Macaca mulatta: one gene and its partners. The protein of the gene in region 3 interacts with the protein of the main gene of each other region in a pairwise test. Links are inferred from orthologs where the notes say so. Each region holds a gene or a part of one and is shown on either strand. Other genes may lie near its edges. The genes, in order: CEP95, LMO4, MTUS2, ZC2HC1C, C8H8orf34, LENG1 and CCDC116.

What was found.
Region 1: the proteins of MTUS2 (region 3) and CEP95 interact in binary tests that used the Homo sapiens proteins (3 or more experiments, as listed by UniProt). The two-hybrid records come from large-scale screens. The link is inferred for Macaca mulatta from reciprocal best matches to the Homo sapiens genes MTUS2 and CEP95.
Region 2: the proteins of MTUS2 (region 3) and LMO4 interact in binary tests that used the Homo sapiens proteins (3 or more experiments, as listed by UniProt). The link is inferred for Macaca mulatta from reciprocal best matches to the Homo sapiens genes MTUS2 and LMO4.
Region 4: the proteins of MTUS2 (region 3) and ZC2HC1C interact in binary tests that used the Homo sapiens proteins (3 or more experiments, as listed by UniProt). The two-hybrid records come from large-scale screens. The link is inferred for Macaca mulatta from reciprocal best matches to the Homo sapiens genes MTUS2 and ZC2HC1C.
Region 5: the proteins of MTUS2 (region 3) and C8H8orf34 interact in a two-hybrid assay, tested with the Homo sapiens proteins (2 studies listed by BioGRID). The two-hybrid records come from large-scale screens. The link is inferred for Macaca mulatta from reciprocal best matches to the Homo sapiens genes MTUS2 and C8orf34.
Region 6: the proteins of MTUS2 (region 3) and LENG1 interact in binary tests that used the Homo sapiens proteins (3 or more experiments, as listed by UniProt). The two-hybrid records come from large-scale screens. The link is inferred for Macaca mulatta from reciprocal best matches to the Homo sapiens genes MTUS2 and LENG1.
Region 7: the proteins of MTUS2 (region 3) and CCDC116 interact in binary tests that used the Homo sapiens proteins (3 or more experiments, as listed by UniProt). The two-hybrid records come from large-scale screens. The link is inferred for Macaca mulatta from reciprocal best matches to the Homo sapiens genes MTUS2 and CCDC116.

Annotation. Positions count from the first base shown.
Region 1 is NC_133421.1:74,430,786-74,434,571, reverse strand, and holds part of CEP95 (centrosomal protein of 95 kDa), read right to left. Parts: intron 3,426-3,786; exon of another isoform or gene 3,252-3,425; coding exon 3,159-3,251; exon of another isoform or gene 2,563-3,158; intron 2,314-2,562; coding exon 2,181-2,313; intron 1,395-2,180; coding exon 1,225-1,394; intron 1,115-1,224; coding exon 1,040-1,114; intron 1-1,039.
Region 2 is NC_133406.1:153,320,285-153,324,754, reverse strand, and holds the start of LMO4 (LIM domain transcription factor LMO4), read left to right. Parts: upstream 1-1,532; 5' UTR 1,533-1,906; exon of another isoform or gene 1,907-4,470. Other genes in the region: uncharacterized protein LOC144332728, read right to left, coding at 963-1,532. UniProt on the Homo sapiens protein: Transcription cofactor. Plays a role in establishing motor neuron identity, in concert with MNX1, acting, at least in part, to disrupt LDB1-LHX3 complexes thereby negatively modulating interneuron genes in motor neurons.
Region 3 is NC_133422.1:9,392,701-9,396,486, forward strand, and holds part of MTUS2 (microtubule-associated tumor suppressor candidate 2), read left to right. Parts: intron 1-1,526; coding exon 1,527-1,625; intron 1,626-2,754; coding exon 2,755-2,874; intron 2,875-3,786. UniProt on the Homo sapiens protein: Binds microtubules. Together with MAPRE1 may target the microtubule depolymerase KIF2C to the plus-end of microtubules. May regulate the dynamics of microtubules at their growing distal tip.
Region 4 is NC_133412.1:148,262,246-148,266,732, forward strand, and holds the start of ZC2HC1C (zinc finger C2HC domain-containing protein 1C), read left to right. Parts: upstream 1-1,559; 5' UTR 1,560-1,938; exon of another isoform or gene 1,939-2,357; intron 2,358-2,739; 5' UTR 2,740-2,758; coding exon 2,759-4,087; intron 4,088-4,487. Other genes in the region: ACYP1 (acylphosphatase-1), read right to left, coding at 1,397-1,559.
Region 5 is NC_133413.1:78,994,529-78,999,052, forward strand, and holds the start of C8H8orf34 (uncharacterized protein C8orf34 homolog), read left to right. Parts: upstream 1-1,612; 5' UTR 1,613-1,670; coding exon 1,671-1,997; intron 1,998-4,524.
Region 6 is NC_133424.1:66,391,186-66,395,468, forward strand, and holds the start of LENG1 (leukocyte receptor cluster member 1), read right to left. Parts: upstream 2,903-4,283; 5' UTR 2,880-2,902; coding exon 2,748-2,879; intron 1,634-2,747; coding exon 1,454-1,633; intron 194-1,453; coding exon 1-193. Other genes in the region: voltage-gated chloride channel TMC4, read right to left, coding at 3,488-3,556, 3,649-3,727, 4,033-4,188.
Region 7 is NC_133415.1:31,362,100-31,366,610, reverse strand, and holds the start of CCDC116 (coiled-coil domain-containing protein 116), read left to right. Parts: upstream 1-1,699; 5' UTR 1,700-1,791; coding exon 1,792-2,061; intron 2,062-2,839; coding exon 2,840-3,394; intron 3,395-3,508; coding exon 3,509-4,093; intron 4,094-4,511.

The DNA of each region.
Region 1 (3,786 bases), on a different chromosome or scaffold from region 3:
AAGCAGAGCCTGGGCTGCCAGGAGTATTTAATTAGGCAAAAACTAAGGAAATTAGACAATATCTGACAAAGGAGTGAAGATGAAATGGGGTCACCTACAGACTCTTATGTAGGTGTTTCAGTTATTAGTGTTTTTCCCCCCCATAGCAAAGTACCATCTGCAGTTCCTGAGATCTTTCTGGAACTGTTTAGTATTATAGTTCTCATGGCTTATCTCTACTCCACACTCAGGCAAAGATTTTCAAATCTCTTCCTTTGGCAGATTGTTTCTGACCTCCATCCTCTCCCTTCATAATTCTCTAAGTACAATTTCTCATCAAAATTGTAACGGAGGCTGATAAATCCCGGAGCTCTCTACTTGGGACCTGAGGATGGGAGATGGCAAACAGCACTAAGTTCAGCCACTTGGCACCTAGACGGATCCATGGAGGTCCACAGACAGAACTGGATTAAAATCTCAGCTGTGTCCCTCGCTTATCAGTGAGACCCAGGGCAAGTTACTTAATATCTCAAAGCTTCAGGGTTTTCATTTCATAGAAAACATCTCTAATATATTACTATAAAGACTAACTGCAACTGTGTACATAAAGTACCTAGCTCTTCCCCTGCCCATTCTGGGTTTGTTTTATTGTTGTTGAGACAGGGTCTCACTTTGGCATGCAGGCTGGAGTGCAGTGGCAAGATCACAGCTCACTGCAGCCTTGCCCTCCCACGCTTCCCACTTCTGCCTCCCAAGTAGCTGGGACCACAGGCAAATGCCACCATGCCAGGCTCATTTTTTCCATACCCATATATATATTTTTTAAGACAGGGTCCCACTATGTTGCTGAGGCTGGTCTCAAGTGATCCTCTCACCTCAGCCTCCCAAAGTGCTGGGATTACAGGCATGGGCTATCAATTTTGGTTAAAGACCTAAGCAACACTTCCACATGCAGGTGTTAGAGGTGAAGGGTCTGTGGGACTGTTGCCCAGCTAGCACACATAAAGGGAATGAATATAACAAATTCAAAATTATAATACCCAACTTGCTCTTGACATACCAGTCTCTTGTTATGTTCATACTCTTTCCTGACAAGGGTAGTAAGGAGGTCATGCCTTCTTAGGGCTTCTTCTATCTTGAAGGGGGACACGAAATCAAGTAGGTTAATAATGCTGTTCACTCAATTCTCAAGGATAAGCTCTTCTCTCATTTAAATTTCTATGCTTAAGACTGACAGTAACTTACTTCATCTTGCAGTTTCTTCTTTGATCGATTTTCTCTACATGCCTCTTTCTTAAGCTGTTCAACCTGTGCAATTTGCTGTTTCCACATTTTGCTTAGTGTTGGGCCAGAAACATAGAGAAATGGAAACTGCTCCAGCATAAGGGGCAGGAGACTGTGTTCACTTACTTTCACTGCAAGGTAAAAGAAGATGTTCTTAATCTGAGACTTGTGGACAAGAACTGTCATCCAACATCCCTGGTAGATCAAAGCTTATGTAAGTGATGTGGTTTTGATTCTGTAAAGAACAATTCTAAATGTACTTATAATAATTTGCATTCCTCCTCTGATTGGAGTAAGCCAACTACTGATAAGGATAAAAATACATTCTGACTGATGCCATGCTGGTCCTGGGAAGTCCATCCTAATTGCTCAGCTGCTTCAGTGCCTGCGGGTAGATTCTCTACGTATGGTAAAATAGAAGACTCCTCAACCCTCCTGGTAGGCAAGTGCTTAGAAGAAACGTTTCTGGTCTAAAGGATATAGTAGGAGGGCCAGCAATCTTTGGGGTATAACAGGAAGCCTGGCATTTCTCATGGCTTTGTTTCCTTGTAACAAGACTCTACACTCATTGGCACTGTCAATATACAGGAGGTGGACAGGTCATCTGCTTGCCTTGGAGCATCCCCTTCATTCTACCAACTTCCCAGAAACAGACAAAAAGGCATCCAAAGTGAGTAAGCACAGGAGTGAGGCTAATGGTGGCGCAGCAGGTGGCAGTCCTGGCATTCCTTGGGTGCCAATATATAGGCCTCCCTAAGGTACTTCCTTATTGAAGAGTTTTGGCAGTGGAAAGAAAAAAAAAACAACTTTCTTCAGCTAACTGGTGGATGTTAGCTTTCAGTGCTGTGTCCCTGGAATGCTGCACTCGCTTTCAAAGGCTGCCAGTTTTCCATAAAGTACAATTCTGTGGTTCTTACTTGGAACTGCTTTGTTTGGCTTTGGGAGGCCACCTCTTGGACTCTGAGTTGTGGTTTTTCTAGAGTAAATCTTCCAGGGCTGACTACATTCTGGAGTTTCTTTAAGAACAGCTTCTCCTCTGTATATTTTTTCCTTAGAAGCAGATACAAAACAATAAAAATAAAAGGTCTAATAGTTCTTTCATGCATCATCTTAAATATTACATATTGACAAAAATAGCTAACTACTTCCCACCTTACTTCAAATTTGTAAAATCTGGTTAATAATTCACTCACTCTAAACTAAAGGCATCTTTTGGCCTCTGGCATCCCTTGGAATTTGAAAAAGCACTGAATCTTTTTCAAGTTTCAGTCACCATAGTCCCACACCCTAAATACAACCACTATTATTAATTTTTTTTTTTAACCTATTAATGTTTCGATGTACTTCTCTTTTTCCATGTAGATTTAAAAAAATTCTCAAGCAACTATGCAGTATGCTTAGTTGTAACCATACTGTACTTTATATCCTGTTTTGTTCACTAATATTTTAGCATAAGCATTTTCCCCATGATTTCATTTCGTTTCTGTAACCATTCTTTTGAAAGGCAATGAAAACTTCAGTTTTGAGTTTCTTACAACCAGGTCTAGAGCAACTAGGATGTTCTGTCTTCTCTTACTCTTCTTTAATTTTGTCAGCCTAGACTAGTTTTTAAGACCTTGAACTGCTAAGTCAAATACCCTTATAAAAACTGATGGTAAGTTTTAAGTAGGGGAAAAAAACGCTAGTTTTCTTTGGTACCACGTCTTGTCATATTTTAGCAACCTGAATGCCTTATTAAGAAGTAAAAGTCCTGTATCATGACATGAAATCCTGCCTTTTCCTAAAGAGCTCATGATTAAGGCCCTGTTGGCCCCTTCTTCTTTTAAAAAGATCATCTTTGTACTTCCCCCTCATCTGATCAAATGGCATTTATTACAGTGTAGACTTTTACCCACTGTTTCCTCCTCCTTCTCATGTATTCTTAGAGGTCCAATATTCTCTTGAACTTTATGTCTTCTTAGTTCCCTTTCAAATGCTTCAGTAAATGCCTATAGGGGAAAAGGTCATATGATAGTACAGTTGTTAAAAACATATATAACGGGCAGCACCATGGCTTAGCTGGGTAAAGCACCCGTCTAGTAAACAGGAGATCCAGGGTTTGAATCCCAGCGGTGCCTCAACTGAGCATCCAAGCTTAGTCGCATGCAGTGAGGCTGAGCCAGGTGGATCACCTGAGGTTGGGAGTTCAAGACCAGCCTGACCAACATGGAGAAACCCCATCTCTACTAAAAATACAAAATTAGCTGGGCGTGGTGGTGCATGCCTGTAATCTCAGCTACTCAGGAAGCTGAGGCAGGAGAATCACTTGTACCCGGGAAGCAGAGGTTGAGGTAAGCCGAGATCACACCACTGCACTCCAGCCTGGGCAACAAGAGTGAAACTCCGCCTTGAGAAAAAAAAAAAAAAAAAAATCCTGCCACCGCGCCCAGCTAACTTTTTTTTTTTGTATTTTTAGTAGAGACGGTGTTTCACCGTGATCTCAATCTCCTGACCTTGTGATCTGCCCACCTTGGCCTCCCAAAG
Region 2 (4,470 bases), on a different chromosome or scaffold from region 3:
ATAATTTCCACCACAAAAATCTCTCTGGAACTTACTAACAATAATCAGGCCTAATATTAGCCTCAGTTTGGAGATTTATTAAACTTATTTGGCAGAGTAGATAAAGTCGAACGCCTAGGTATGCAAGCATCTAGGCTGTGCTTCGGCCTTGGAAAAACTCAGGCCAGCACCCTAAAAGCATTCCTCAAAACTTGATTTATACTAGAAGTGACATTTCTTACTCTCTAGAGGCTGTGAGATTGCAAATCTCGCAATTACTTCCATTGCTTTTGGGGGCTGTGAGAATTTCCGCCTCTCATCCTCCACAGTGAGGAGGGTAGTCGGGCAAGGTTTTCTCCCTGAAGTTTTCGTCAACTTTGAAAATAAGGACTGTGCTCCCTACATCACCAGCAATTGACAAGGATCCAAGAAATGCCTGCTAGGCACTTTCACACTCGGGTAAATGGGGGATGAGGGAGGCTAAGTAGGCAGTATTTAGCTAGCAACTATTATTTCCTTTATGTTTCTACCTTGTTAACTAAGCTTCCACTACGGTTCATAAATCTCCAATATCGTGAATTAAAGAAACAACAACAAAAACCCTCTTCTGTGTGCGTGTGCGTGAGGGGATAGAAGTTCACTGCCCTAAGATGCAGGACTTATCTTCCCAAACAGGAAGATACCCATTTCTGAGAAAGATGGTAAGTTTCCTAAGGGTCTCCTCTCAGATCGAGGGGATGGCAGTCCCCGAGGAGCGAGCGGGAGCGGGTCCTCAGGGTCCCCGTGCGCAGAGAAGGCAGGTGAGGCCCCCCCGCCCCACCGGGTCTCGGCTCCGGATCCCGGGTCGCGAAGGTCAGCCCAAGCGGGTCCCCGGCGCCAGGCGCCAAGCGGGTCACTTCTCCCCACCTGATTCGGGCCCTTCCCTTCTCCTCTGTCGGCCCGCTCCGCCGCCTCACTCTCTCCCCCGCCCCCCGAGTCTCGTTTCAGTCATCCCTTTGTCCTTCCCCGGATTGGCAGGTTTTATTATTCCGCCTGAACAATCCGGCCGCCCAGTGGCTGAGGGTCGCTGACGTCGGAGGCAGAGCCGGGGAGTAGTTGGGATTTTGCTCTGTCAGTAACACATGTGTAAGAGCCGCGGAGGGAGCGAGCGAGCCGGCTAGAGGCCAGCGCCGCCGCCGCCGCCGCCGCCGCCGCCTCCTCCGCCTCCGCCTCCGCGCCGGGCAGCAGCAGCCCCGGCAACAGTCCCGGCAGCGGCGTAGGCTCCAGCGCGTCGGGCCCGGCCGGCCGCAGCTCCCGACTCCTGGGCGCGCCTGCCTGCCGGCCTCCGCACCGTCCGCCGCCGCTCCCCGGGTTTCTGTGTCTGCGGCTGCTCCCGGGCGGAGGTGCAGGGAGCTCAGTCGAGCCGCCGCTGCCAGCCCGGAGCGAGCGAGCGAGCTAGCGAGCGCGCGGGAGGGAGGAAGGCGGCGGCGGAGGAGGAGGAGCGGGAGGAGCGCGAGGAGCGCGGGCGGGGGCGGGGGCCGCCGGGCGGGGGAATATACAAAGTGAAGCCACATTGCCAAACTTGCAGCAGCGATTGCAGCAGTTGCTGCCGCTGCACCGCGCCTGAAGCCGCGTCGCGCGGGCCGAGGGCTCCTGCAGCTGCTCGCGCGCAGCCGGAGGCGGAGGAGAAGGACGAAGACTGAGACTGACACTTCTGCTCCCGGCCGCCTGCCACTTACGCGGGGGCCCCCCAACCCGCCCCAGAGCAACGCGATTTAAAAAAAAAAAGCCGCCCTTAGCCCCCTCCTCCCCTTTCCTGCTTCTGCGAGAACTCCCTCCCTCCCTCCAGCTCCGCCAGCCCAGGCGCCCCTTCCCTGGAAGCCGAGCGGCTTCGTTCGCATTTCACCGCCGCCGCCTCTTGCAATATTGCAATATAGGGGAAAAGCAGGTAAGGGGGCGGCTGGGGGAGCCGCGGGCCGGGAGGTGGGAGAGAGAGGGAGGGGGCCGATTCGGGCCAGGGCTGTTTTCTTTGGCTTCCTTCCCCTTACCGTCCCAAATTGCAAGTAAACAATACGTCGCCTTAGATAAAGCGCGAGTCTGAAACTACCGAGGCCGGCCTGCGAGCTAGCGCGGAGGGCAGCCCCGGGCCGCCAGCTTTGTAGCGGTTCCTGCTTACAAAAGGGCTCTTCTTGGAAACGGGGCTGGTGGGGACCGTAGAGGGGGTGGGATATTTCTAGTTCATGAGGGAAAGGGCAAGGGGTGCTTAGATGAGGTTTTAAGTATGAGAAGTAGTGTGTTTGGGGGGGTGGGGGTGGGGATAGTCACGATAACCCCCCCCTTCTAGTAAACACTAATTTTGAAACAGTGGCAGGAAGGGTCTAAGTGAGCAGGATTCGGTATTGCTAGTTCTTTTTAAAACCTCTTGGTTTATAAGTCTTTTGTTACAATCCAGGAGAAATACGGTGAATCACCTAATTAAAATCAAGACATGAATTAAGCATCCATTTTTGTACTACAAATTGCCAGCGTTACGTTTGTCCCTCCCTTGGTCTCCATTAAAAAACACCAGAGACGTTATTAAAGGGGGGCAGATTTTGCCTCTAGCTGCCAGTTCTGCTTTCTATTTCACTGACTATCCCAGGACCTAAATTGCTTGGCTATGTAATTACTAGAGTATAAGCCTATTTAACTTAAAAGCTTTCTTCTTCTTTTTTTTTTTTTTTCCAACTCTAAATGAAACTTGATGAGGGCCCGTCCTTAGTTATCAGGGGAGTCAGTTTCTGGTCAGTCCTCTTGATTCATCTCTTTTAGATTTAATCAGCATTAAGGTATTGCTTGTCCTTAAGAGCTTTAGCTAATGGGGTTACTGGATGCTTTTCTCAGTGTAATGTTTCCTTTTCAAAAAAAAAAAAATACATATATATTTACCTCTCACTAAAGATGGGGGCGGGGAAGAGCTGGGAATCTCCTCCCTCTCTCCTTTTAAAAAGGAATTCGGAGCGATTAAAACGTTGGGGGAAACAGTTTAAAGACCTAGGGCAGGAAATGCAGATTCATTTGGGTTAGGGCTGAAATTGTAACAAAAAGCAATTCCTCGAGTAAATGCATCAGATAAATCAATTTACATAAAGGTATGATGCATTCGGATAAATGCAATGCTAATGGGTTTTAGAGTGGTCCTGTTTCCAAAGTCTCAGGGTTTTGTTACAGCTTAATTGGTGCAGTTCTTATTCTGGTTTATTGTGCGGTCACTGGACACACGTTCCGGGACTCTTTCGGAGGAAATGTGTTTAAAATCGGCCTATTTAAGGAACCCGAGTCCCTGTTTCGTTCGTTCCTTCCTCGTTTTTTTGCAGCAGCCAAGTTGGGCCGGGGACAGGCAAAGTTCGCCTTCTTCTGAGGTATCAGCTGAATGTCTTGAGCAGATAGCCGGGAGCCTCAGGGGGAGCCCACACTCTCAGCTTACAGAGGACAAAGACAAAACAGGCTGCTTAATTGGCAGTAAATAACTTGATCTTTTTATAGAATAAGTGACTAGAGGAACACTAGGACTTTATTGGACTCGGAATTGAAGGCAACAAATTAATCGGTTTAGGCTAAGCTTTATAAATTGATTCCTATATTATATCCCAGTTGCATCTCTTGTGGCATTCATTAGAGTGGGGAATTCTTTTTTAAAGCAGTTTTTGGTGACAGCAGAACGGGCTCGAATTTAACTTGTGCATCCCTTAATGCTGCCTTCTCGCACGTTATCTGTAACGCCGACCCCCCCCCCCTTTGGAGGAACAAAGCTTTAGCATTTAAATTGCTGATCAAGGGCAGATTAGTGAGACCAAAGTGGAGAGTGTTTGTATAGGAAGTTAACAGGCATCCTAAAGTTCAATGATCTATTATTCTTGCCTGTGTCCTGAAAACCCAGAGAAAACACTCATTGATCTTCAAAATGAAATGAGATTTGGAACAATAATGGGAGATGGCGGTCACCACAATGGCATGTGAAAGGTGCTGCTTAAAATACGAAAAACCAGTTTCGCAACTTTACACACTGCACCCCCTCTGCCGTCACCTTGCCTTCCCTCCCACCACCACGCTCTCCATCTTCCGTCTGCCGGTCCCTCCCTCCTTCCCTTTCGGAAAACCGAACTATTTCCAACTTGTGAACTCCTGCTGCACTTCCCAGGGCAGAGCCCGGGAGGGAACGAGGCTCCGGCGGGGCCGTCGCCTCACCACTCCCCTCGACTCTGTCCCGGGGCCCGGCGGGGGCTGGGGAGGGGCCGGGCACGGCGGTGGGTGGGTTTGACCCTCATTTGCTGCAGGCGGGCGGCGGAGGAGGGGGGCAGTGGGCGGAGGCGGGGGCTGGGAGGAGGCGCCGCGAGGGGTGGAGCGCGCGGCGGAGCCTGCTCTCGGAGTTTTGACAGTACCGGAGCTGAAATTGTCAGCGGCGGCAAGCGCTGGAAAGTTGAGAGGAGCTCGTGGCCCCAGAACAAAGCTTGAGAAAAGTAAACAGGCGGC
Region 3 (3,786 bases):
GGCGAAACCCTGTCTCTACTAAAAATACAAACATTAGCTGGGTGTGCTGGTGCGCACCTGTAGTCCCAGCTACTTGGGAGGCTGAGATGGGAGGATCCCTTGGATCCCTTGAGCCTGGGAGGTGGAGGTTCCAGTGAGCCGAGATCGTACCATTGCACTCCAGCCTGGGCAACAGAGTGAGACCCTGTCTCTCTCTCTCTCTTTCTCTCTCCTTCTCTCTTTTTTTTTTTTTTGTGTGTGTATCTGTATATCTATATACTTTTTTAGAAGAGTTAATGGGAGACCCTAGTTTCTGTGTTTTGATATTATAGAAATGGTGCTGGGCAAAGAGCTTTGGACTGGTCTGCATGAGTGAGACATGACGGGTGAAGCTCTCCTTGGGCATCAGCGGTCCTTTGCCAGCCTGTGGTCCTGAGAGTCATGGCCGGAGCTGAGTGGGGCAGGGTCAGTGCAGGTGCATCTGCGCTGGGAGCTGGGGAAGGGGTGCAGTGTCTCCATAGACACCCTTATATTCCTTCAACCTGCAGGTGGAGAGTGGCCAGCGGCCTGCCTAACTGGCAGGCATGGGAAGGCTAAGGGCTGGGAGCGCCAGTCTGGCCACGGGGCGGGTCTGAGCAGGGAGGAGGAGACTGTGTGGAGTTGGCTTACGTGGCAGCTCCTATCAAGGACATGCAACCCAGTCCTGAGGCCGGGAAGGCTGTGTGGGAGCCAGAGTGAAGCGGGAGTGAGAGGGAGCTGGCTGGAGGAAGGCACTGGCAGCAGGAGAGCTGGCACAAGAGGAAAGGGAGGCAGCGAGGCTGGGAGGACGCTGTGTTAGGGAGTGTGCACTGCAGCTTGAGGGCAGTGGGGTAGGAGAGAGGAGAAGGACAGGTTCCGGTTTGCACGTTAGAAAGAGTGCCTCACTACAGTGTGAGGGCAAAGGAGTGATCATTCAGAAAAAAACAGGAACCGTCTCAGAAAGTAGCCAGCAGAGTGGCCGGAGCTCAGGGGAGTCTGTGGGTTCTAGGGACATTCAGGATGGCAGGACTTGATTATGGACTTCGTGATGAGAAGGTTTGGTGATGTGGGAGGGGTCCCAAGGGAGAGAAGGAAGTCAAGGAGGGCTTGAAGGGTTCTGGATTGAGCTTCCTAAATGAGAATACATCTTTGAAATACGTTCATCGTGGTCCTTCCCAAAGCCAGGGGCTGGGTGCCTCCTGGACAAGAGGCGCCTCTGAGGATTCTCTCTGAGGATTGTCTGCCTCTGTGGGATCAGAGGTTGTGAAACGCCCCCGGCTCACTGTGCTTTTGTGGTCTCTTCCTGACAAAGCACCAAGGAGGAGTGAGCTGAGGGCAGACGCGGGGGGACACCCTCCTCCATTGTGTGGCTATGGGGGTTCCCCTTTGGCATCTCTTTCTCCAGCCCCCAGGGAAACACTCTGAGGGTGCTCAGGGCACAGTGGTGGCCCACTGATCACAGCTGCCCAGGCTGTGGTGGCTGCTGTCTGTAGTGGCCCCAGCTGGACTCCTTGTATCATTACTTGCAGGACCAGGTGGACACGCTGACCTTCCAGAGCCAGTCTCTGCGGGACAGAGCCCGCCGCTTCGAAGAGGCCTTGAGGAGGAACACAGAGGAGCAGCTGGAGGTAGTGTCTGGATTCCAGGCTTCCAGCCCCGCAGGGACCCCGCCCCAGCGAGGCCAGCGGGGCTCCCTCAGCAGTCCAGTCCCGAGACAAGGCCTCTCTGTGAATCCACTGCTGAAGTGACAGCTGGTCACGGCCTCCCCTGGATTTTTAAACAATTGCTGTCAGCACCTCTCCCCTGAGACAGACAGCAGCTGTGGGTTTCTCCAGCGACGTGTTATTTTTGCCAAATTCCGCAGCATTCCCCAGCTGGAGTCCCAGGGCTCCTGTGATAAGCATGGTCTGGAAACCCCCACCCTGGCCCGGCCACCCCTTCCAGCCCGTTCCCCCGGCCCGGCCACCCCTTGCGGCCCGTTCCCCCGGCCCGGCCACCCCTTCCAGCCCGTTCTCCCGCAACTTTTTAGGCTGACGTGGGGCAGCCTTGGCTGCAGCATGCGTTAACAGGTTGAGGGGAATTTTTTCCAGAAAAGCTGGCAAAGTTCCTTCCCTCTAATGTAGGGTTGCCAAATAAAATACAGGACACCCAGTTAAATTTGAATTACAGATAAATTTTTGAGTATAAGTCTGTCCCATGCAATACTTATACTGAATTTTTTAAAATGTCATTTATCTGAATTTGGATTTAACAGGACCTACTGTATTTTAATTTGTTACATCCAGCAGCACTACCCCAACGTGACTTTTGTCTAAAATGGCTTTTCTGCTTCTTAAACCACTTGACTCATTTCCTATGCATGGGCTCTTTACGGGCATAGGTGAGACCTGTAAGAGTCCCAGCTACCTCGTGAATCAAGTCTTCCGGGTGAATGTTAAAAGCCAGTGTTGGGTTTACTCTTTCTACCCCATGAGCTCCCTGCTAGGCATAGGCTGGCAGCACCCAGCAGTTCTGGAGTCAGACTTTCCAGTTCACGATGGCCGTGTCTCACCTGCTCCCCCATAGAACTGGATTTTAGGAGGCTTCTCAGTGGGAAACTTTATCAGGGAAGGCTGTAGCATCCTCTCTCTTTGGTGTCGCAGTTGCCATCAGGGCGCTTGTCCCAGGAGGATGGATTTAGCTGGATTCGTGGTATTGGTTAATACTGGGTTTTGTCGGGAGCCCTGGTCAACAGCTCATGGCTCTCTGCCCCTGTAGATTGCATTGGCTCCTTATCAGCACTTGGAAGAAGACATGAAGAGTCTGAAGCAGGTATTAGAGATGAAGAATCAGCAAATACATGAGCAGGAAAAGAAGATTCTCGAGCTGGAAAAGCTGGTGAGTTGGTCCGTTTGCTCGCGAGAGTAACTAACCTCCATGACATTCCTGCTGTCATCACTGAGGTCATCGTTGACACTGAGGTGTTCAGCCAGGTGTGTCTGTTACCTGCCCATTGCTTACACCTATGCAGAAAATCCCACCGCAGGCCTTTCCCAGGAAGCCAGGAGCTCTCATAAGGAATCTTGGAGGTGGCCTTATCTTGTCCAACTCTGGAGCCTTTCTGATGGGTGGCCTCTTTCTGCTTTGCGCTGGTTTTCCCACAGTCCTGCTGTCTCCTTGCCCTCTCTTGGGGACGTGTGGTGACCCAGCACAATGCAGCATCCCCAGTGCCCAGGCACTGCACGGAGCACTTTCCCCGAGCCTGCTCCTAACTCCTACAGCTGCCTGTGGAGGAGCTGCCGCCCCCAGCCGCTTTACAGATGCGGAGATGGAGCTAGGAGTCCTGGCCCAGTGCTTCGGGTCCTCACAAGGCAGTAGGGGCCAGGGATCTCCCTGGGGCCCTTTTTATAAGGGTATTAATCCCGTTCACAGGGGCTCACCCTCAGGACCTAATCCCCTCCCCACAGCTCTGCCTCCTAATACCATCACTTTGGGGTTAGGTTTCAGCATAGGAATTTTCAGGGACACAAACATTCAGTCCAGAACAGAGTCCTTGCTCTCACCCACACTCGTCCACCTCAGCCCACCAGCCTGGCTCCTGCAGAGCTAGTAAAGGGGAGCACAGAACACCCAGGATTTCACACAAGCCCCTGGCCAGGGCTAGAGTCCCAGAAAGGTGTGCAAAGGGAATGGAGGAGAAGCCTCCTTCCAAGGGCAGCCCATCTTGATCTGGAAGTTGGCCCCAGGATCTCAGATTCTTATTTTTTCCCTTTATTATTGTTACTTTAAAAATAAACTTCTGATACTATC
Region 4 (4,487 bases), on a different chromosome or scaffold from region 3:
AGGGAGACCCTGTTGCTATAGGAAAAAAAAAAAAAAAAAGTAAGCTGGGTGTGAGGGGCACACACCTGTAGTCCCAGCTACTCAGGAGGCTGAAGTGGGAGGATCGCTTGAGCTGTGGAAGTCGAGGCTGCAGTGAGCAGTGATTGTGCCACTGCACTCCAGCCTGGGCCACAGAGTGAGACCCTATCTCAAAACAAACAAAGTCCGGGCGTGGTGGCTCATGTTTGTAATCCCAGCACTGTGGGAGGCTGAGGCAGGCGGATCACCTGGGGTCACGAGTTCAAGACCAGCCTGGCTAACATGGTGAAACTCCATCTCTACTAAAAATACAAAAAATTAGCCAGGTGTGGTGGCAGACGCCTGTAATCTCAGCTACTCGGGAGGCTGAGGCAGGAGAATCACTTGAACCCAGGAGGCGGAGGTGGCAGTGAGCTGAGATTGCGCCACTGCACTCCAGCCTGGGCAACAGGGTGAGATTCTGTCTCAAAAAACAAACAAATTTTAAAAAACCCTCAAAACCAACAAAACAGAAAACAAAAACAAAACGCTGGGGTAAAGTGATGGAGTCAATTCCCGGAGGGTACTGAAAAGCACTAATTCAAGAGAACTCATGGAAAGTGGCCCTTCTTTCTCATAGAGGAGAGGGAAGGAGAGAGGGAGAGAGACAGACAGAGACAGAGACAGACAGAGACAGAGAAGAAAGGGAGAGAAGGAAGAGGAGAGAGAGAGAGAAAGAGAAAGCCCGTACATTCTGCTGAGGGAAGCTGCGGGAGTTGATAATTGGGACCCTGAGTAGAGTGGCAAACATCTGGAGCTGCATATATGTAGAGGTGGTGCAGGCAACAAGGGATGAAAACGAGGAATTAAAAAAAAAAAAAAAAAAAGAAAAAGAAAAGAAAAAAAAAGAAGGACTGACCTGGAGGGTCCACCAAGGAATTTCTTTGTAACAGGTAACAGCTGTAATATGACATGTTGAAGTATTAACACTGATGACTGCTTGTCTACATTATTTTCCAAGTGCATGAATTGAGTAGTTACAGGGAAAAAGCGAACTGCCTGTTCCCAACGTCCTACACAGATGAACTGAAACGAAGAAAAAAAAATAAACTTTCTTTTGATGTCAACAAGTTACAGAGTATCATTTACTGTTGAAACCAGGTTATACTGATTATTTTCGATCTGGTAGTTCTTTATTATCATTACACTTGGCTGAGTCATTCCTACGCCCTAAGTACAGACGGCTAGAGTTACCACGTGAGAGTAAAACATTATAATATCAAAATAATTAGATTGGCCACAAAAATTACCCCGGAAAGATACTGCGTAGCAAAAACGTTGGCAGCAAGTTCCAAAGACTTGGCGACGACAAGCAGGGAGCGCGCACGTGCAGCCATACCTGGGGCCCGCCCAGCGCAGCCAAGCGCGCCGAGAAAGGTCAGCAGCAGCCCCGCTCCCACCAGGCAGGCGGTCGCCTGCACCCTGCGGCGGAAGCACGCGGAGGCACAGCCAGGGCCTCCGCCCTTTGCCAGTGAAGGGCACACCCCAAGGTCTGGGAGCATCGTTCTCAGGAAAGTACAAGTTCTTCTTTGATGGAGCCCCAGAAAAGCCTCTCCCGCCCTTCCTCGGCTCCCCAAGGGCAGGGCTGGACCCGGCTGCAGAGTTGGCCGGACACTGACTGGGTCAAGTGACGGTCGGGCTGACCGCACCCCCCACCCCCGGTCGCCCCGGGTCGCTGGTGCACTGCGCCTGCGCACGCCTCCCCAAGGAGTTCGCAGCGAGGGGCGGAGCTTGGCCCGCCAGTAACTCGGTCTCCAGGCACCGGGAATAACAGAAGCTAGCTGAGAGCGCCTGCGCGGCCGTCGGTTGAGGGGGAGGTCGGGTCTGGGAAACTAGGCCCTGGGGTTTTCCCTGAGCAGGAGCGGTGCCCGAGGGCCTCAGGTACGCAGAAGGGCGGGGAGACAGAGGGTCAGCACCTCCTAAGGGCCCGAAGGGCAGGAGAGAGAGAGGACTTGTCCCCAGAGGCGGAGTCCGTAGTGGGGGCGCCCCAGTTGACCCTTCGGGACAGAACGTGACTTCAGCCTTAAGGATCTAAAACCGGCTGCAGCCAGGTCAGGTGGCCCTCAACGCTCAGGTTACAAAACTTTTACCGTCTGCGCCACGGGGACTCCTGAGATGAGGGTTTGACAGCCAGGCACCTGCTCCAGGCCCTAGCAGCCTCTGTGCTCTTTTGAATCAAGCACGGTTCCAGCAGGAGGGAAGCCCTGAGAGCTCTTTGTGCCAGTCACTACCTCTGGGCCACAGCTTGCTCACCTGTAAAATGGTGAGGATGGACTCGGACGGAACCCTTCAGTTTACAGGTGAAGAAACGGGGGCCAGCAAGGGAGAAGTCGCTTGTCCTGTTACAGGCCTAAAACCTGACTTTCAATCCGATGCTCTTTCCACTTACTGTAGAGTATACTGTGCGTGGCAGAGGCTGGTGCTGGAGGAGAGGAGAGCTAGGTGGCAGGAACACCTGTAGCACCTCCGTTTCTCTACCCTCAGGGCCTAACACAGTGTCTTGTGCATAGTAATCACTCACCAAATGGTTTTTGAAGGGAAGCTTTGGCAGATCCAGCACCACTGTCCCCAGAAAAGTTTAAGGAAATGTGGGCAGGGCAAATGTAGAAATAGTTTGCTTTAGCAGACGAGAGTGAACCTCAGACAAACTCTTCGCATGTATCTGGTTTAAATCTCCCGTAGGCATCAGTCCAGGCCCTGAATGGCTGGTCTCCAGCGGTTGGCATCACATCTGCCTGTGGGCGTTATGCTTCCACATAATACAACAGAAGCTCCAGGGCCCCACTCAGCCAAGCAAGACTCTTACGAACAAAGTGACTCTTCCCAGCAGTCCTTGAAGGGGCACCTGAGGAACAATTTCCAGAAGCAGCTTTTGAGCAACAAAGAGTTGACTCTGGATAAAGTCCACACTCACCCCAAATGGAACACAAAAGCCCGGAGCTACTCCTATCCCCACTGTACTGGAATCAGCCACCAAGATGCAGGAAGTGATTTCCAGGGCCAAGTAAAACAAATTTACTCATCAGGCCCTCAATCCTGGTATCCCAAAGCCAATAACCAGGACTTTATCCCCTTTACAAAGAAACGAGTTGGAGTGGACCGGGCGTACCCACTGAAACCCGTGGTCCACAGGAAGTCGTGCAGTACAGGTGAGTCTGGCACTGATGGGGACCAGAATGTCTACCCAAGGCCCCCTGAACTGAGAGAGTTTTCATCCAGGAACTTTGATGTGAGGAACCAGGTCAACTTTTCTGTGGTTGATCCTGTTCTTGCTGCCATGCAGGCGGAGAAGGCCTTGGCAAACTTGGACAGGATGGAGTGGGTGCAGATCCGAAGACTAGAAGCTGCAGGGGAGAGCTTAGAGGAGGAAATCCGAAGAAAGCAGATTCTCCTGAGGGGAAAGCTGAAGAAGACAGAGGAGGAACTCAGAAGGATCCAGACGCAAAAGGAGCAGGCCAAGGAAAATGAAAACAGAGAGCTACAGAAAATTATATTCCCCAGGAGCAGAGTTAAAGGTAATAACAGCAACACCACGCACAAAGCTGTCTTCTCCCCAGAATTTGATTTTGAGGAAGAATTTAGTAGAGACAGGAGAGAGGATGAAACTTGGGAACGGTCTCAACAAAATTCGAGTCCATTCCAGCTCTCTGATTATAGAATTCAGAGACTCAAAAGGGAAAGGCTGGTAGCAAGCAATAACAAAATTCGAGACCGAGTCTCAGAGCCGTCGATGGAGAAGTTCTCCCCGCCTTCAGAAACACCAGGCGGTGCTTTGCAGGGATCTGCCAGAAATTCCAGCCTGTCCATGGCACCAGACTCCTCAGGTTCCAGCGGCTCCACTGAAGAGCCACAGCTGGGTGAGTGCAGCCACTGTGGGCGAAAATTCCTCTTGTTCAGGCTGGAGAGACACTCCAACATCTGCAGCAGGATACAGGGTTCCAAGAGGAAAGTGTTTGACTCCTCCAGGGCCCGGGCTAAGGGCACAGAACTAGAGCAATACTTGAACTGGAAGGGGCCAGCTTCAGCCAAGGTAACAAGAGCCTTATGGATGTGACTTGGTGTGGGGATCATTGTAGGGGTCTGTTTTGTCATCATCAGTTTTCTTTAGGGAAAATTCATGTGTCATGTAGGAAGAATTGACGTCTAGAATTAACATTTCTTGATTACTACTGTATGCCAGCATTGTGATGGGAGCTTTGCATGTGATCCTCGCATTTATCTCTCATTTTATCAGTTCAAAAATCAAGACTTGGACAGGCTAAGTAACTTGCTTGAGGTCACAAACAGCTTTAAGTGGCAGAGTCAGCATATAAATCTTGGTTAGAATGACTAAAAAATCTAGACCAAGAATTTGTGTCCTTTGGATTATAAAAGTAATAAAAGTTTACTGTAGAAAATTTAAAAGACACAAAAAATCGAAAGAAAAAAAA
Region 5 (4,524 bases), on a different chromosome or scaffold from region 3:
GCGGGCGGATCACAAGGTCAGGAGATCGAGACCACAGTGAAACCCCGTCTCTACTAAAAATACAAAAAATTAGCCGGGCGCGGTGGCGGGCGCCTGTAGTCCCAGCTACTCAGGAGGCTGAGGCAGGAGAATGGCGGGAACCCGGGAGGCGGAGCTTGCAGTGAGCCGAGATCGCGCCACTGCACTCCAGCCTGGGCAACAGCGTGAGACTCCGTCTCAAAAAAAAAAAAAAAAAAAAAAAAAAAAATACGTAAGTAAATATACCTTCGAACCACAATGGAAAGCACAAGGCAACCCTGGGCACCTCACTGTTGTTTAATTTAACTCTCCCTAGGCAGATCATATGAGTCCAATTTAAAAGTATTAATGTGGACATCTTTCCACCCTGGATCATGTCCATTTCAGGTTATCAGGGATGGTTAAGCTCCTAGCTATTCTAGCAGATTTCTTATATCTTAATATAGGAAATTAACAATAGTTCCTGGGATATTCCACTATTATCTAACTATTACATGTTTCCACATATTTAAAATACAGAAGGAAAGCATGAACACCAATAAAGAAACTATGAGTAACAGAAATTGAGAACACAGTGAAGAAAGAAAGAAAATATATACTGCTGCAGTCAGCTTTTAGGAAAACTATTTCCATCATTCTGAACATCATATTTATTAAAAATAAATCTAATTTTGGCAGCATATCATGATTAGGAGCCAGGGAAATCGTCATTGGGACCTCAGTGTTGTGTTTCACAAGAAAGAGAGCTCTGTGAGGAAGCCTGGGCTATCTGCAAATCTTCGACTCTGAAATCCCTGCATAATAAGAAAGGTATTGGCTAAATTCGAGCAGCTCATGCAGTATCTAGAGGAAACATTGTTAAGTGGGATAGTGTGGCGTCTAAGATGCAGTTATAGGTATACAGACATGACTCAAGGAGTGGATTAGTAAGGCCAACTTCGGAGGGGAGGGCTGGCTCGCTCATTTCTCTTCTCCCTGTCAAATGCTGAAGGGCTGGTTCCAGCCTTTGAGCGCCCGCACTTTGGGAGTTTTCAGCTGGGTTCTCAGGCTGCATTCACCCGTCGACTTGCTCCAGGCCAAGCCAGATTTTGAAAACGAAGGCAACTTCTTTTTTCGCGGCAAACCCTTGAACCCACGCACTTTCTCACAACTCTGGCCTTCTCAACCCCTGCGCTAGTGTAGGCAGGGCAGAAGGTGCTGAGGAGAGGCTCAGAAGGGGCGGTGGGGACGATCGCCTTTAGAACTGCATTTGTAGCTGCCAAGGAGTAGCCAACAAGCACCAGATTTATGTGCACTTTGAAAGAAGCACCTTCACCATTGGCTTTTTAAGCGGCGCTGTCGCTAGGGAGCGGCTGGTAGAGCGAGCAGCCTCGGGAAGAAGCCCGGGCTGTTTGTTCCCGTCACCTGGGAGAGCAGGCACACACAGTCGCGCGCGCACGGACACACACACACGCACGCACAGACGCTGGCGGCGAGTTCGAGCCCCGCGTCCCCTGTCCGCCCGCGTGCGCCCCTCGGCACGGCTCGCCTCCCGCCCCCTGATTCCTGCTGCTGCCGCCCAGAGGAGAAAGGAACCTCTGCCTCGAATTTCCCCACTGCGCCGGGCGCTGCGGCTAGCGGCGAGGGTGGACGCGAGGCGGAGAACGCGATGAATGAGTTCTCCCCTAGCCTCGGAGTTGTCTGAGTTGGCGGCGCTGCGCCCAGGCTTCCGGCTCTCAGCGCCCCACGCGCGCGTGGCTCCCCGGGCTGCCACTCACGGCCGCGGCCGGGGCCAAGCCAGCCACGCAGGGCAGCCGAGGCTCCGGAGCTCCTGTCCCGGCCCCAGTCCGGGTAAAAGGAGGGTTGTCCCCAGCGGAGGCGCACAGCCGCGCGTTCTCCCCGCACTCTCTCCGCGGTCCCATCTGCTCCCCATGGCGTCTCATCCGCAAACCCGGATCCAGGCTTACCTGGAGAAGAACAAGATCGGTCCCCTGTTTGAGGTAAGGCGCTGTGGAGGAGGGTAGTCCCGTTGTCTTTAGGGGAAGGGGTGCAGTAATGAAAACAGAACACCCCCCACCCCACCCCTCCCAGGGAAGGAGGGCTAGAAAACGAACGCGCGGGAGGGGGCGCCCAGGGGTTCACTGGCATTCGCTCTGTCCCGGCCAGGTGTCCTGGAACGCGGCCGGGCGGGCACTTAGCCAGTTACCTGAACACAGACAGGTGAGCTTGGGAGGGCCCAGCCTCAGCCTGGCAGCGGAAGTTTGAGCCCTCTGACTGTCGTGCACCTCTCAGCCACATGTTCAGTACCCGGGCAGGCTGAGGCAGGCGATGCATACGGATGCACACACTCAGACGGTGTTGCACATACACACTTTCTTTCTTGAATTCACGCTGTCTTGCGTGTTCGTGTTGGATTTTCTTTTTTCTTTTTTCTTTTTCTTTTCTTTCTTTCTTTTTTTTTTTTTTTTTTTTAATGAGGGCGGTAATAAAACCCGAAAAGGCGGAGGAGGTGCTTAGCAGTTAATACGATTAACTGGAAGAAAGCTGAACTGGTGAGGAGTAGGCTTCAGTAGGTGCGGGCGTGATGAATGAAACTGGCAAACTGAGAGACTGCCATTGGTCACTGGACGAAAGGAGAGGCCTTTGCACTGCAGACCCCACATGTGTTAGCAGGAGAAAGGGACAGAGAAAGGTTCTGAAAAGCACACACGTATTTATGGAAGGAGACTATAGCTCTGAGCTGGTGTTTTTTTTTTTTTCCTCGCCATTAAAGAATTGACAAAAATACAGTAGAAGAAAGAGCGGGAGGACACGAGAAAATGAGAACAAGAGATTGAAGCTTGGCACCAGCAAAGCGTCCCGGGGGTTGCCAGGGTGCTGGGCAGGGGTGGGGCGTGCGGTCCGTGGTCAGAAGTGGAGGCCCTTGGGGAGAGACTCCCATGGTCCCATCCAGTTCAGGGGGTACTGACCGGCGGCGAGAGTTAGCGGGAGGGGCGAGGTGCTCCCGCCTTGCCCCCGCCCCCCACGTCTCCCAGAAGCAGTTGTAGCTGTTCTTGGTCTTGGGTGAGGGCTTGGGGTGGGGATCGGGGGAGGTTACGTGTCAGCGTCTGAGAGAGGCAGAATCGCGGCTAGTGGAAGAGGCTGCATTGGAGATCGCGGAGAACCTAGCAAAGACTGAAGAAAAGCAAGTGAGAACTGCGGAGAACAAAAAAATAATGCGAGTTAATGACCCTGCAAAAAAAGGACGAGGAGGACAAAGGTGTGGTCGAATAGGTCTTTTGGGAGGACTGGCTTCACATAACAAGATTTGCAAGATCTCCCAAGTTTTTCTGCCGAACTTTACCGATGATCTGTCTTGGACGATAGGACCATTGTTTCAAGTGAAGCTCACATTGTGGGGTGCAGAGTCTTACAATTGCTTTGATTCTTTTTTCTGCCAAAAATGTGAACAAAGGCAATCCATGCAAGAGCGAAATAAAATTGATGGAGCTACCAGATTTCTTTGCCTTTAGTTTAATGATTATTGATTATACATAATCCTATATAATTTTTAAAAGGCAGAAGCATAAACCTTCTGCAACGCGGTGTATTAATTGCATCAAAAGAATCATAAAATAAATACATTTAGAATGTGTGTTTGCTCTCTACACTCGTAGAGTATAAAGTACAATTAGCCTGACAGAATAAACGAATTGTTTTTAATAAATACTGTTTTCATTTGTTATTCTAAAATCCTCAAGATTCTTTCCAAGTGATAACAACAAAATTAGGAATATATGTAAACTTTCTACAGAATTAGAAAATAAACTCAAATGGATATTTATCAAGTACCCCCTAACCCCCATCCTTTAATACTCACCAGCAAGTTCTGCGCTGAAGAATTTTAAGTGACAGCAACATGTCTCATAAAAGCTTTAGGTCCAATCACCAGAAAACAAGCACCACCATGCTTCATATTTTATTGAATATGTATGACATACACTGGCATTAGCTTAGATTGCAGTGGTGAGGAGTGCGTTTTTAAGGTTTGATGTTCACTTTAAATAATTGAAGGGAGAAAAATGGATAATAAATTCTCTTTTACTAAAAGCCGGATGTAACACAGTTCCTTATGCAACAATTTTGATTACGATAGAGCTTGATTTTGAGAGTACAATTATATGTATTTCACAAAATTGGAGGATTTTACTAGCATGTAGCCTATCTTGTTTCATGTTAGAAAACCAGTGAAGAAATGCCACCTGTGAAATGGACATTGTTTACCTAGGGACAGTTCTCTTCTAGGACCTTACTCAATAGTTTTCACAAGAATTGATTTGGGTCAGAGGAGGCGCCCAGCAATCTGAACGTATTAAGAAGCAGCAAAAATGTTTGCTACAATTTTAATTTCTGGGCCACGTTTTGAGAAACTGAACTAAAATCTCCATTTACCACTCACAAATTGAAATTGGCAACTCCATGTCTCGTCATCTATGCTTTGTTGTGTTGAGTCAGTGGGAGCTGACACAGGCTTCTTTCAGTTTGGAA
Region 6 (4,283 bases), on a different chromosome or scaffold from region 3:
GTCTCTTCTTCCCCAGATGCTTCTGCATCTCCCGAAGAGGGTCCAGACGGCTCTTGATCTTCTCATCTGGGGCTGGGCCAGGAGGGGGCCCCCCTCGCTCTGGGGGTAGCTGGTACCAAGGGGGTTGAGTCTGTGCCTCCGCTGCACTCTGGCCCAGGTACGTCAGGATGCCCAGAGCTTTCTCTTGCCTCTCCTGAGGGGGCCAGGAAATACAAGAGATGGGATATAATCTTTCAAGGTGTCAGGTGTGTCTCCCTGACATAGGAATCTAAGCAAACAGGTACCTAAGGCTTGTCATGAACCAGTTGTACCAGGTGCTGGGGATGGAAGACACCAACAGAGGCCAAGTTCCCCGTGGGGGGACAGTGGCAGGTAACAGCAGGGGAAGGAGGGGACAAGTGGAGCCACTTGAGTGTTCAGAGGCAGGCATCTTTGCAGAGAGACTTGAAGAGAAGCCTGAAGGGATCAAGCAAAGCAGAGGAGCCATGGGTGGGGTCAGCAAGTCCAGAGACAGCAGGTGAGTGACAAGAGCTCATGTACCTGTTTTTTTTTGAGATGCAGTCTCGCTCTGTTGCCCAGGCTCGAGTGTAGTGGCACCATCTCGGCTCACTGCAACCTCTGCCTCCCAGGTTCAAGCAATCCTCCTGCCTCAGCCCCCCTAGTAGCTGGGATTACAGGCACGCACCACCATGCCCGGCTAATTTTTGTATTTTTAGTACAGACGGGGTTTTGCCATGTTTGGCCAGGCTGGTCTTGAACTCCTGACCTCAGGTGATCCATCCACCTTGGCCTCCCAATGTGCTGGGATTACAGGTGTGAGCCACCATGCACGACCAGACATACTTTTTACACTTGATCTTAGCCAAAAGGCAAGAGGCGAATGATTCGCCTTTTTTTTTTTTTCTCTTTTTTTTTTTGAGATGGGGTCTCGCTCTGTCACCTGGGCTGGAGTGCAGTGGCGCAATCTCAGCTCACTGCAACTTCCACCTCCCAGGTCAAGCGATTCTCCTGCTTCAGCCTCCAAGTAGCTGGATTACAGGCGTGCACCACCACACTTGGCTTATTTTTTTGTATTTTTAGAGATACCATGTTGACCAGGCTGGTCTTGAACTCCTGACCTCAGGTGATCCACCCGCCTCAGCCTCCCAAAGTGCTGGGATTACAGGCATGAGCCACAGCTGGCTGATTTACATTTTTAAAAGCCTATCAAGGTTTCAGACCCCTCCAGTTTTGAGAACTGAGCAGTTTGCCTAGCAGCTGGGGACCTCTAGCATCTACCTCCAAGCCCTGTGGGTGCCCAGATGGCAACACTTCTTAAGTGTCATGCTTTGGTATGGTTCTAAATTCTGTGTGTTCGTTCTCGTTTGACCTTGATCACAAGCAGTGGCTAAAGTGCCCTCTCCCCCCAACTCGATTCATGGCTCCTCTAATGAAGTGGGTGAGGCCAGCTTACTTTCTCCTGTCGCTTTTCTTCCTCGTACTCTTTATTGCCTCTGATCACTCCTTTCCCTTCCTCCAGCAGCTCCCGAAACAGGTCCACAGGGCCAGAACTTGGGGCTCCCGCCTCTGCTGCTTCAAGCTCAGGCAGTGAGTTCTGATGTCTGGCTTTCTTTCGTAGGAATTCTGTACGGGCCTGGGGAGAAAGTTATAGGCAGGGCATTCAGAACCTAGAGGTGATTCAAGAACTGTGAGTCTGGTGCCCACCACAGAAAATGGCAGTCCAGGGTGCTGGGGTTATAAGAAAGGGAGCACTAGACGCCTAAAAGAGGCACCTGTCCTAGCTGCGGGTGAGGGTAGGCAGATGAGGCAACGCCTGGGTTTTGTAAACTGCCTTTCAAATCGTAAACCACGGGTCATCAAGGATGGCTGGAAGGAGGTCCCTGGCCTAAACCAAAGGGGTTCCTAACCTCAAGTGAGACAATTAAAACAGCCATAAAGGTAGACCAAACTGCATTAGGCCAGACGATCTGAATTCTAGCCATGGCTCCAAGTCACTACCCCAAGTCGACTGCTGAAGCCCTGTCCCCCGCCTTCGGGACGCAGATTTCAAACAGCGCTCAGCAGCCTACTGAGATTCTAAAAACCCAGACTACCTCCCACCCACTGTGGAGGATCAGACTAGCTAAGGAACTGAAAGTTGGGTGTACACCAAACAGATTTAAGGAGCCATACAGAAAGCCCGTGTTTGTGTGTATGTGTCTAGGGGGCGGTGCAGGAAAGGGCTCGCCCGATGGCGTGGAGCCTGGCTGTCCCCCTCTCCTTAAATGTGCCTTCCCCTCACTGAAGCCATCTCACTCCGTGCAACGGAGATGACAGTGCCCCTCTAAGAACGAACAGTGCCTCCTGGGGATTCCGCAAGTCAGGCGCTCTGCATGTAGTTAGCATACAATAGGTGCTCAATAAATAAACTGCGCAGGCAAACTAAAACGTGATCCGAATTTCCTTGAACTGTCCAAGCGCTCATGTATTCATTAAATGTTTTTAAGCTGCTCTTTTGTGCTAGACACTGTTCCAGCCATGTGAAATACATCAGTGGGGGGAAACTAAGACGAAGGCGAGATCAAGGGAGGTTTCGTGGAAGTGGCCACAAGGTTTGCAGAGCAACGTCCTCGAAAACGGGATCGGCGCCTGGTCCCGAATTTCACACGGGGCACACTGAGCCTGCGCAACGCCTCCGCTTCCGGCCCCCAACCGCGGCGCGTGCGCGCTGGGCTCCGGCGGTCAGCCCGGCCGGCCTCCGAGCTTACCTCTTGCTGAGCCAGCAGCGCCCTCCGCTCACGCTCCTTCTCCTCCTCCCGGGCCTGGGCCTCGTCACGCCGCACGCGGGCGACATTGTCCTTATTCCGGACGTGCCAGCTCTTCTTGGGCAAGATATTCATGGCGTCGTAGCTGTCCAGGGACTGGCACGCCCGCCTCTTTGCACTTCCGATTGGCGAGAGGATGCCCCCCTTCCTCTTGTCCCTACTTCGACCGCAGATTGGTTCCGAATTAGTTGGTACGGCCCCCTGGCCTGTAACGACAGGTGATTGGCTGAGACGTCCTTTTCACAGCGAATGTTAGGCGTTCGGCTCGTGGTATCCCCTAGCAACCGCCTCTTATCACAGATCTGAACCAATCATAAGTTGGCCCGCCCCGATGCTACCACATGCGGCCGTCGATTGGTCGACATGACCGTCAAGTCTCCTTGCGGAAGTGCGCTCCGCACCGACAAACATGCCCATACATTTGATTGGCTCCTGCCCTGCGGTAGCCCTGCCCCCACCTTCAGGACGCAGATTTCAAAGCGCGCTCAGCAACCTCGGCTGTATTTATTGATACAAGAAAGATCACCCGAGAGTCAGGGACGTGGCGGCGAGGGGCCCTGGAAATCTCCAGATATCAAAGCTGGAAGGGCGTGGAGTCTTCTCCAGTTCTCCTAGTTTACAGATGTTGTGACCTAGGCTTACAATGGGCCTGGGGTCTGAAAGTGGGGCGTGAGCTGCGGGGGTCAAAGAGCCGGTTCGGTGGAGGTCAGCGCCACAGCGCGCCGTGCCAGGAAGACTTTATTCTGCGCCTCCTGCGGCAAAGAGAGGTGGAGGTGTGACAGCCCTCTTCCCCAGCCCCTCTCCGTGTTCCCCGGGGGCCCTCTCAGGGACCCGCCTGGCTCACCGTCTCCCTCTGACGTTTGAGCTCAGAGATGAGGCGTCCGTAGGAGTTAGCCCGAGCCACAGTGTACGCCATCAGGATGCTGGAGGAGACAGGAACGGAAGCCACTCCTGACACGCTCTTCGAAGTCAGGGATGTGGACCCCTAAGTCCCTCCTCGTCCAGGCTCAAGGAGTTCAGTCTCCCAGCACCTCCGCGTTCAGATCCAGGAGTCCTAAGTCCCGCCCACCTCCTCCTTCGGACCCAGCAGTCCAGGAGCCTAGGCCTCCTCCCTCAGACTCAGTACATTGCCTGCTCCCACCCCCAAGCCTTTCCTCTCTTGGACGCAGGTGGTGGCCCCCAGATCACACGCATTCAAACCCAGACCCAGAAGTCTGGTCCACCTCACCTGGAGATCAGCAGAAGGGGCGCAGCAAAAGCCTGGGTCCCCAGGAAGAAGAGGAAGTTCTGGGTGGTCTCAGGGAGGCTGGAAATAGACTCAGGGATCTGGGCCCAGATGGACGACTGCCCCCGGAATGGACCACACGGCTTAGAAGGCGGGATCCTGAAGTCAAGACAGGCTGGGTTCAAGTAGAGCCAGGAGTCTGAACACTGAATGGGGGGAGAGGGAGGGAGAGAGGCGGGAACCTCTCGCACTTA
Region 7 (4,511 bases), on a different chromosome or scaffold from region 3:
AGCAGGCATTTTCTTTATTTATTTATTTATTTTTTCTTGAGCTCTAGACACTAAGAAAATGAAAGCAAGCATATACACTAATGGGTTTTTTTGAGAAAACATTATCTCCTGTTTCCATCTTGAGCTCTCTGCCAGGCTACAGCTTTTACATTAATAACTTCACTGTTTTTCTCTTTGGTCCAGAAAAGCTTTCCTTACCCATGACTGTATATGGTAGGCAGCCACAGTTTTCACTGCAACGTGGCAGTCTTGATTTTTCCCATGGTATTTGTGTCCAGACTATGAAATTGGTAATGTCATTCCTGTTTCACAGATTAGGAAACGGGGGGTCAGAGAGCGAAAGTGTGGTCCTGCCAGGAGTAGTGGAGATAAGACTGAACCTCACAGCTCAGGGCCTGCACCCAGACCTGCTTTGTCCTCTCTGTCCCTGACCTAGTGGGTAGCCAGAGCTGAGAGGACAGAGCAGAACTCGAGAGTAACAATATTTCATGAGGTATGTGAGGATTGAAAGCCTCATAGAGTCCTTCAACCATGCTCTTGGCATAACGACTGTTGTGTTTATAGTGACTGGTGAATTGTCAGACCTCAACCAACCACCATTCTCCACTGGAAGCTGATCTTGGAAAGGTCAGAGGTCCCGAGGGTGCGCAGATGGGAAGGAGGAGACTGACATTTATTGAGCACCTACTTGGTGCCAGACACTGAAAGTATTAAAGATTCAGGGTGACTTGCCTCAGTTCTGGCCCCAAAGGAGCACCATCTGGTAGACACATAAGTAGCAACATGGTATGGTGGAGTCTGGAATGGGGTTTACTGTGAATCGTGTACGGAGTGGCAGAATTCACAGTAAAAGCTTTTTGGAAGAAGTGACACTGTGGTGGGGTATTACTGAGCAAAAGAGAAAAGGAGGGAGGGAGAGGAGGTAAGAATATTCAAGGCTTCACTGGGATACGGGGTGTGTTGTAGGGAGATTGTATTGAATCCCATATTCCCATATTGGAAGAACACTCAAGCCCATTTAGAGTGCAGGACCAATGCTAAGAGAGGCTGAGTCACATTGGCAGGAAAGAGCAGAGCCAGGAACTGAAGCTAGGTCTGTGACTGAGAGCCAGCACTCTCTCCACTGCAGAGGGGAGAAGTCTCAAGGTAGAACCTGGGGCTGTGCACACCGCGGGAGGGGCAGAGGCCCCTGGAAAGGAACAGGAGCAGGAGGCCCAGGGCTGCGCAGCGACCAGGTAGGACACGAGGAAGGTGCTTGTATCACCGGTGGAAGACGTGGCTTTGGCTTTTAGACTCCCCTCGGGGCAGGAGCGGATCATAGAGCCTAGCCCCAGCTTCGGTGGTGGGTGGGGGTCCTCCCGGCAGCGGGGACGTAGACACCAACATCTTCACCCTGCGGCTCCCAGACGAGTGTGGGAGAGCAGAGTCCAGAGAATTGGAGGTTGGGCCAATGTGGGCCCCGCCCCCAACTATTGTGTCGGAGAGGGTAGTGGATGAGCTCCTCGGTAAGAACCAATGAGGATGTGGTATGCAAATAAGCAAGTGGAGGCCGCCAGTCGACTTCCTCGCACTGTATAGCTGCCCCAGTGAGGGCGCAGACTGTACTGGCCTGCGCGGAGCAAGGCGGTGTTTCTGGTGAGTCCGTTGATTCCGGGCTGGGGCGAAAGCCAGGTTGCCCAGGGTTTGGGAGTAGGGAGGGTTAAGCACACGCAGATCCAAAGATGATCGGAGACAGGATGGTCCTCGGCGATTCCATCCCGATGACTCTGGGAACTGCCTGCCTGCAGACGCATGAGGGCCATGGAGCAGAGGAAGGGCTGGATGCATGAAGGACACGGGGTGCGGGCAGCAAGGGAACCGCAGATTCCAGGGCCACAGATGTGTGGACCTATTGGAGACCCTCACGTTGTCTCCCCAGCCCGCGCAGAGAGGAATGCGCAGCTGAAGAGAGAGGTGGGCAGCAGGCTCGGTCACCTGCCAGGTGACCACATGGCCAGGTGCCGCCACCACTCGGGCTACGTGGCTGACGATGAGGCCAGCCACTCCATGTGCAGTGCACGAGTAAGTGTGCCCAGCAGGACCCCGACCCTTAAGGCCACAACATGTTCCCCGCCAACCCTGACACCCAAGACCACAGCCCCCATTTCTCATTGTCTATTGACCTGCTCTGTGGGCCTCTTAGCTGAGTCCTTATTGCCTTGACTTCTCCTATGACTCCCCTGCTTGCCCCTGTCACACTCAATTTCATTCCTTGTTTCCTTCTGACTTCCAGCGACCTGGAAGGTGCTTGGGTGAACTGGGACCCTAGAGTGGGAACTGGGAGTTGACTAGGTGCCTAGGGCTCAAGTTGGAGAAACAGCCCTGGGTAGCACAGGGCTCAAGACCTCAGCTATTGTCTGCACTCAAGACCTCAGGTGTTGTTTGCAGCCCTGCCATGGAGACAGGGATGGCCTGCTGCATGGACAGATGAGGAGCTGGAGGGAGACTCCAAGAGGTTCATGATTGCTCATCCTGCCATGTATCAGGGCAGAAGCAGGCTAAGTCCCTTAGCCAGGACTTGTGTGTGTGAAATGTAGGTGTTAGGAAAGCTTCAGGGCGACCCTGAATAGACCTCCACTTTGCAGATAAGGAAATTGGACCTCAAGAGGGGCCATCTTGCACACTGTCATCAGGCTGTAGGTGGCAGAGCCAGGGTCCAAATCCAGGGCCTCCAGACTTCAAAATGCAGCTCCTTCCACTACTCACTCTCACTCAGGTCCTAGTGTTACCCTAGGAAGACCCCAGGGAGCCCTTCACCTGTAGGGCACCCATGCCCACTGTGACATACCTGTCTGCTCAGGTGCAGCTACCCAAGAAGCCACTGGTTCCAGAGATGGGGCCAGCCTCCAAGCCGGGCCATGTGCCACACCCACCATCCACATGTGGCAGCTCAGCGCTCCAGAACCAACGCCGAAACAAGAGGCACCCTCAGCCCTTTAGCCACTTTCTGGATTTCCTGACTGAGAGCCATGTCCTGGACAGCCTGGAGACAGTGGTGGAGAAGGCGACTGAGCGCATGGCTGCCATGAAGACCGAGGCTGGGGTGCCGCTTGTGGAGGTGCAGGACCCAGTGGAGGTGCCAAGTGGTGGGCGGCGGGCACATGCCCGGCCCAGCCTCAGCACTGTACACCGGCACCGTGTACGGCCGACCCTCTGCACTGGACACCCCAACAACTACCCATCCAGCTCCAGCTCCATGTCCGACTCCCATAGCAGCCTCATGGCTGGCTGGCTGGGCTCCCACAGCCGGGACAGTGACCTAGGTGCCCAAGGTTTAGGCTCACTGCCACCTGTGAAGGACAAACTCCTGCTGGAGAAGAATCTCAAGCGGCTGCTACAGCTGGAGAAGAAAGGGGTGAGAGCCGGGGCCATGGCTGGGTGGGGTGGACTCCCACGGAGAGCCCAGGGCCAGGGTCAGCCCTGGCTTGGCTGCTCCTGAACACTTCTCAGAGTCACCCTCTTTCTGCAGAAAGGCCTCAGTCAGTCCTGCTCCAAGAGGGACTCCCTGCTGTGGGATTTGCTGGGCAGCCAGACCAGCTTTCAGTGGACCCAGGAGCAGCCCCTGTCCTGGTTCTCGGAGCTGCTGGGCTCAAGCTCTGGTGTGCCTGAAGCATCAGAGCCGAGGCCTGGAGAACAGGAGCCGATCTGCAAACGAGAGTTCAATAAAGAGATCAAGTCGTTACTGAGCCAGCTGGAGTCCCTCGACCTGCCTGGCTACTGTCCGCTCCGTGAGCCCCATCGCACACTGAACTTCCTGGCTGACCACCGCCTCTTCCCTGCCCTGCAGAGCGTCGTCAACCAGGCTGTGGATAAGCTCCGCGGCGCCCGCTGCCGCGACGGCCGTCCTCTGTTCCCCACCAGCTTGGAGCCCCCCTCAGAGCTGCAGGTTCAACGCAATCTGCCGCCGCTGGGCTCTGAGCCGGCTAAACCCACCAACAGCGGGCAGCCCCACCCCACAGTCTCCAGCCCCAAGACGCCTCAGAGAAAACACAAGGACAGAGGAGGCTCCCCCTCCATGTCTAGTGCCCAGGTGGCCACCAGATTCAAGCTCAAGGTGACACCCATGGAGAAGCCCGATGTCCCCAGCCCCTCACTCCACTCCAGGGAGAAGGAGCCTGACTCAGATCCCAAATTACAAAACCCACCTGTTTCCCTGAGCTCCAGACAGAGGGCCCAGCCCTGGCGGGGCCTGCACCTCACCCTGCCCGCGCCCGGGATAGTGGTGGAGGTGGCCTGCGGCCAGGGCCACCTCAGGGTTGTCACACCTCCACTTGCCTGCCCCTACCCCCGCTCTTCCTGCTACCTTCTCCCTGAGCTCTCCCCAGTTGCTTCCTCATCTCCCTCCTCACTGTGTCCAGAGGTGACCTCCTCGAAGGTAGGACCGGACATGAGTTTGCAGGAGAAAGGCTCCTTGACCCGCCACTCCTAGCAGCCACTATCACTGGCAGGTGCTCAAGGTCAAGGTTTCTTGC